2 linked regions of the Cricetulus griseus genome follow. The protein of the gene in region 1 interacts with the protein of each later gene in a biochemical or structural test. Links are inferred from orthologs where the notes say so. Each region holds a gene or a part of one and is shown on either strand. Other genes may lie near its edges.

Evidence for each region. The genes of interacting proteins can lie anywhere in the genome.
Region 2: the proteins of Rnf4 (region 1) and Ube2w form a complex in vitro, tested with the Homo sapiens proteins (2 studies listed by BioGRID). The link is inferred for Cricetulus griseus from reciprocal best matches to the Homo sapiens genes RNF4 and UBE2W.

Annotation. Positions count from the first base shown.
Region 1 is NW_023276807.1:103,341,072-103,343,579, forward strand, and holds part of Rnf4 (E3 ubiquitin-protein ligase RNF4), read left to right. Parts: intron 1-607; coding exon 608-617; intron 618-952; coding exon 953-1,112; intron 1,113-1,796; coding exon 1,797-1,845; intron 1,846-2,097; coding exon of another isoform or gene 2,098-2,154; exon of another isoform or gene 2,155-2,183; intron 2,184-2,286; coding exon 2,287-2,436; 3' UTR 2,437-2,508. UniProt on the Homo sapiens protein: E3 ubiquitin-protein ligase which binds polysumoylated chains covalently attached to proteins and mediates 'Lys-6'-, 'Lys-11'-, 'Lys-48'- and 'Lys-63'-linked polyubiquitination of those substrates and their subsequent targeting to the proteasome for degradation.
Region 2 is NC_048595.1:144,389,683-144,393,949, forward strand, and holds the start of Ube2w (ubiquitin-conjugating enzyme E2 W), read left to right. Parts: upstream 1-1,455; 5' UTR 1,456-1,476; coding exon 1,477-1,578; intron 1,579-4,267. UniProt on the Homo sapiens protein: Accepts ubiquitin from the E1 complex and catalyzes its covalent attachment to other proteins.

The DNA of each region.
Region 1 (2,508 bases):
ACAAACTGGTGGATGTGGTAGTACACTCCTCTAATCCAGCACTTTGAAGGTGAAAGCAAGTAGATCAGAAACCAGGATCATCTTCAACTATATTAATGAATGTCCCGAGCCACCAAACATGTGTTGGTCCAGTTCTTGTTAAAAAGGATGACTCAAGATAATTCCCAATTGATCTTTTTATAATATTAAGTAGCTTAAATCCTTCTCCAGTGGCTCTGTCATTGGCACTTGCCATGCTGGCTGTAGGTGCAATGAGCTTTGCTGATTGTTTTCTGACTCAGCCCAGGGAGGTAGATTAGGCCTCTTGTTTTTGTGAACAGAATATAGATTCCTCCAGACAACCCAACCTCTGGTCTTGCACAGGTCCTGATGTGGTTCTATTTAGGCCCCGAAATGGGCTGGGTGAGATTCAGCATATTGGCTCCTAGGAGACATTGACCTGGAGATGACCATAGCTGGCCTGGAGAAGTACACATTTCCTTTCCTTGGGGATAAGGGAAGACTGGATTCTCCAATATATACAGATATATTGGAAGCAAGATGTGTGTGTTTTATCAGTTAAAATGTCAGAATGTTTATAACACTCTCTCTTTTTCCCCCCCTTCAGATTGTTGAAGGTGAGTATTTTAATTTCCTTTTCCCTTGGGTTTAAAGAAAATTGTTGCGAATACCACAGCATCGCACGCTTTATCAGACTGTCCTTTCAAGATCTCTAGACAGAAAGATGCCTTTGGTCAGACCTGGTTTTACTGAAAATCTCTGCCCAGGATGTCAGGGGCTGAGCTTTCTCCTGAGAAGGCAATTGAGTGGCCTCTGCTTATGGGCAGGACCTTCTGGGGGCAGAACTAGTATGGTGATAGTTTCTCTCTGGGGGCCTCAAGGAGAGGGGAGGGTCTTCAGAGACACTAGGGTAGGATGGTAAAGATGGCTGAAAATGTGACCTTTTCCTTAGAAAGGAGAAGGCCAAGAAGAAATGGGAGGAGGTTACGCCCAGACCATGCTGACAGCTGTGTGGTGAGCAGTGATGATGAGGAACTGTCTAGAGATAAAGATGTGTATGTGACTACTCATACTTCTCGAGGCACCAAGGATGAAGGAGCTACAGGACTCAGGTAATCTGCTCTCCTTCTGTTATGTTGGGTGGAGACGGGAGCAAACAAATGCTGTACTGTATATAAGCTGTTACTCTAGAACAAGTATCTGCCAAGCATGCTTGGAATGCAGGGCTGGGATCAGATGTCTGACCAGGATAGACCAATGGACAGACAGCTGTATCAGGAGACAGACATACCCACAGTGTTCAGGGTATAAGTGGGTTGTTCTAGGTGCCACTAGCAGGAATGCTGGAGGTGGAGGAGGTGGGTGAGTCTTTTCTTATAGACCTGTTCTCTCGAATCCCTCTTTCATGGCCATTCCAGCCCAACGCTTCAAGTAGTTCATTTATTTATCTTCAGGTTGCTTTTTTTCTTTTAATTTTTTTTTTTTTTTTTTTTTTTTTATGTGCATTGGTGTTTTGCCTGCATGTATGTCTGGGTGAAGGTGTCAGATCTTGGAGTTACAGTTGCGAGCTGCTATGTGGGTGCTGGGAATTGAACCCCAGGCCCTTGGGAAGAGTAGTCAGTGCTCTTAACCGCTGAGCTGTCTCCAAGTTTTTTGTGCGCCTGTTCTAACTCAGCAGAAGTGAGGCAGGGAGAGATTTGGTAGAAGATTGAACTGCATATATGAAGCTACTTTAAGAGGGTGTTATCAAGTATTTGGGTTTACTTAGAAACTGATGTGGAGCACTGTGATTTTAGGCCCTCGGGTACTGTCAGTTGTCCGATCTGCATGGATGGATACTCTGAGGTAAGTAACCTACTTGTGTCTCCTTTTGGTTTTAACCTACTTCACTAAAATGAAGTTAGAGGATCTGTGCCTCATACGGGATTTGACACCTATCTATCACAAAGGCCAATTAAAAAGGAGATTATGCCAGTTGGTCATGGGCCCTCTACATTTTATCTTTAGCCTCTGCAAATTCATGTTTCCCACCGTAGCCTTAACTAGAAGCTGTTGATTTTTGCTGAGCTTGCCCATAATCCATTTTTATTACTGCAGCTGGGAAAATCCTGTCCTGTCTACATTCTGTTCCATAGAGGCAGCATTTGCTTCTGAGATTGTTGTGTAGGCTCCTGCTTTTTCTGGTAATAACCTTGATCCTTTGTATACACTGGTCTCAGTGATGGCTGGGTTAGGGTCCTTGGTGACAAGGAATACTTTAAGGCTGTTCCTTTTAATGTCTTCTAGATTGTGCAGAATGGGCGCCTCATTGTTTCTACAGAATGTGGCCACGTCTTCTGTAGCCAGTGCCTCCGTGATTCTCTTAAGAATGCTAATACTTGCCCAACTTGTAGGAAGAAGATCAACCATAAACGGTACCACCCCATTTATATATGAAATGTTCAGAACTGCTCAGGATAGACCAATGGACAGACAGCCAGGCTGGCCTTTCTGCATGGTATCTGCCTC
Region 2 (4,267 bases), on another chromosome or scaffold:
TCTGGAAGGAATAGTTGACAAGCTTTGCTATAAACTTACCTCTTTCACTGGGCTATGTGGGCTTTATTCTATGTTGTAATGGTGACAGCACAATGTGCTTGACTGATTCTGTATTTCCAAGTCATGCAAACTCCCTCAAGATCACATTTTACATAGGAAGGGGAAAAAACCATTTCTGGTAATAGGGTGACATCTTAGAGAGGGAAGAATACCAAAAAAGGTTTCTCTTTGGTAAAGATAAACTGTGTTAACATTATGCCATAGAATAACTGCATATTTTAAAGATCTTTTTCCTTTTGTGAACACATTTCCTTGCGGATGTTCCCAGAGAACATCGTGATCTATCTTAAGTGTGAAGAGTGATATTCTACATTGCCATTATATTTATATCTATCGTAGAGAAATGTCTAAAAAAGAAGGCAAGTCAATAAAAAGAAAGATTTAAACTTTCGGGTAAAGCAAAAGCCATCTATCTACTCGACATGCCAGCCTCCTTGACTCTTTTAGAGATAGGACAGGAGGTGCAAGCTTTAGCCTTCCATTTTTTCTTTTATAAACCAAAAGACATCTTTGGTTCTGGAAGAGCTTTAAAAATGTGACTTCTGATAAATGTTGGCAGAACTGGTGCATGCCTAGAATAAATTCTGTATGCTCAGTGTTTCCTGCCCAAACTCATTCATAGGTTGGCTGATCACAAAACTGCCCACCACAGAATTGGCTGAAGAGAAATGTAGACATGGCACAACGTGAGCTAATATATGAGAATTTGTGGCTAGAGTCAAATCGCTAATCAAATAGACTGATGTAACAACGACTACTATGATACACATGGAGTTTGCAATTTAGATGGTTGGGTAAGGAAGCTAGAAAATCTCACACAAAAGAAAACATTATTCTTTCTCCTTCCCTTCCCACTACATTTCAGCACAAAAAATCTAGTTGCTCTTGCCTTTAAGATGACAGCGTTGCCCTGCTCTCAGTTTTCATTCTGTTCTATAAGGAAATTTGTGACTCTCTGTTCCTCCCCCCAACCCCCAAATTAGAAATAGCCTCCTGGATCTGCAAAGACTAGAGAGCACCTCCCCCCCCCCCGCGAAGTTTTATCTGGCTCAGAAGAAGAGCTGTAGGTGTAGAAAAGGCATACAAAGGGGGATTAAAAAATAAATTTAAAAAACTACAAATCTTACACCTGTAGCTAGGAAAACAGAATGAGACCAAAAGAAAATAAAAACAACCAAAAAATTCGCGCATCCAGACAGCTTCATGATCTAGGGAGTACTGCTGCGGTTCGAACCTGAGCTGCGCCTCACCCAGTAGCGAGGGTGGGCCAGCGTGTAAACTGGCTGGGATGAGAGGTACCCAAGGCGCCCCGCCCCGCCCCACCACGCCCCGCCCCGTCACGCCCCCGGGCGCCCGCGCCACAGCCAATCGGACGTGCCGGCCCCTTCCCATCGGCGACTCCACCCCGTGCCCGGGATGTTGGGCCCCCGCGGCGTGACGCGAGCACGGCGGCTCCGCCCCCTGCGTCTCTGGCCTCGCTGGCCTTGGGGGGATGGTTTCATCATGGCGTCAATGCAGGTGAGCGGAGCTGCTGCAGCGGGGCGGGCGTGGGGGCCGCCGAGACGGGGCGAGCGTCGGCGCGGGGGCGGCGTCCGGGGCCGCGGCCCAGGCTCCCGGTGGCCTTCCCTGACCCCAGAGCGTCGGGGATCACCGGTCGGCGAGCGGAGCGGGGGTGTCGGCCGGTGGCCGCGGACAGTCGCGGCCGCGAAGTTGTGGCATAAAGGCGGCTGAGGGGAAGAAAGGGCGAAGTTCGGCGTGCGCTCCGCGGTGGGGGCTCCGCTCCGCGCCCCCGCTCGAGGACGGCCGCTGCTTGGCTCCCAGGCCACGGGGGAGATGCTTTCCTCTCTCCCCTCCCCCTGCGCTCCCCGGCGGGGTGGAAACAGCTGTGCCCGCCGCCGTCGCCCGCGGTCCGAGCGGCCCGAGACTGGCAGAACGCGGGGCAGCCGGGGAGCGCCTCGCCGAGGACGGCCGCTTGCCCACGGCCCTCCGCGGCCTTTGCCCGGCCTCCCACGCGCAGCCTCGGAACGCACGGCCCTTGCTAGCTCTTCTTCGATCTTCATCCCGTGCCCCGTGGGTGCCTCCTTCTGTCAGCCCGCACTCTGGGGCATTCCCCGGCAGCCCACGTCTCCTTCGAAGCCGCCCTTCGCCCGCGTCCCCAGCGTCCTGTGCCACCCTGGGTGCGAGCTCGTGGGCCTGCTCCTCGGCCTCTGGAGAAACTCGCTCTTAATATATTTTTTTTCCCTTAGGATGCCCCACCCTTGCGGACTCGGTAAGGCTTTGCCCTTCTTCCCCAGACCTTTAAAACCTTAGTTTGGTAGAAGGTGCCTGTTAACCCGTGCCCTATCAATCTCTTGATGGTGGTTTTCTTGCCTTCCAACTTAATGTACTCCTTTTTTCCCCCTTCCAAATCCAAGAAAAAAAATCTTTTTTTTTTTTCCCCAGGCAAAGATGGCAACTACAGTTGTAGTTTGTAGAGATTGCATTATCTGTAGCTGGCGTTTAATGTACAGATAGGGTTAGCGTGTTAAAGCACATAAGGAGAGCGGGTAGAACTCTTGTGTAGAGAGTCAGCGGAACGCCTTTTGGAGTTTTACACCCTCTTGAGTAAAGAGAGAAACCACATTTTCCTTAGAAGAATTTTTGGCTTTTGTTTCTAGAAGAATAAGCAAGATCCCGTTGTTGGCGCTTCTCTGTGCTGGAAATGTTTTTCATTCTTGCGCATTTTCCCCCCTTTTCACTGTGTCTTTCAACCTGCTTTCCTTAAAATACTCTGCTTTTGCCTTTGCGTGTCCCTCTGGCTTCTCCTGCAGAACAATAAAACTGCAAGTAACATTTCTAGTTGAAGAGATGTCACGAAATGGTGCAGCAAAAACAAGAACAATTTCAGGAAACGTTATACTTTACACTCTCCCCAGAGACGTTAGAGAAGTTTCGTCATCTGAGGCCAAAAACGGAACTGTGGAGCACCAGTTGGACAGCAGATGGGCTATATGATTGCTTTAACATTTTTATCGGTATTAAGACATTGTTTATTATGACCTTTCGAAGATGAGCTGTCTTAAGATAACAGGCATGATTTAAGACTAAAAATAAAGATTAAAATCCACACACTTGGGATTGTATTTGGCGTTGGCAGGAGAGCTGGTTAACTTTTACTACACTTCAAGTATTTGGAAAAAGCAGGTTTGTATATAAGAGAGATGGATATTTGGTATTCACTCTGTGTCTTCAATAGTGGGGAAAATGCCTTTTATGCCTGATCTGAGCCTCAATCACTACCTTAGACTCTAGCACCAGGCTTTCATTCCTTTGTCTTCTGATTAGCATGGGGAACTGACCCTTTCTGTTTCAATTAAGGTTAAATCTTGGCCTTTTGTATGTATTTCAAATTATCTGATAATTTTTTTCGGGAAATAACATTTGAGGAAGATTTATTTTTATGGTGTGGGTGTGTGCATGTGAATGCAGGTGTCTGTGTAGGCCATTTCTGATTGACTGGAGCTAGAGTTGTAACAGGTGCTTTCCAGTTGCCAGATGTGTGGTGCTGGGAACCAAACCAGGCTCCTCTGCAAGAGTTGTTCTTGCTCTTAACCACTGAGTTATCTCTCCAGCTCCGTAGCAGACTCTTTGAAGGACACTTTGGTGTGTTTTCTTTTTATTTCTGTATCTTTGTACAAAGTTTATTTCCTGACCATTTTCACAGCAGGAATTAGCTCTTTTCAAAACAAACACAACAATGTAAGTAATCAAAGGTGTTCATTAACTCAGCAAGTATTTTTAGATAAGATTTCCATATCTTACTACAGGGGGTTATTATTATTGCTGAAGAAGAGATTACTTATGCTGCAGTCGGAGCTGTATTTTAAAAACAAGCCATACTGTGCACATGTAATGTGGGATTTGATCACTTGATAGCAATGGAATAATTTTTATATGCAATAAAATCAAGTTAGGGCGGTCTTTCAGTTTCTTACTAGAGGATATGAAATTTAAAGCTGAGGTTATAATTATCTGTCTGTCTGTCTGTCTATCAGTCAATCATCTTTTTGGTTTGGCTGTTCTGGAACTCACTCTGTAGGCCAGGCTGTCCTCTTAACTCAGCTGTCTGCCTGCCTCTGCCTCACAGGTGCTGGGACTAAAGGTGTGTGCCACCACTGTCCAGATTGTTTTTATGTGTTTTTTTATCTTTTTTGCTGTATAGCCCAGG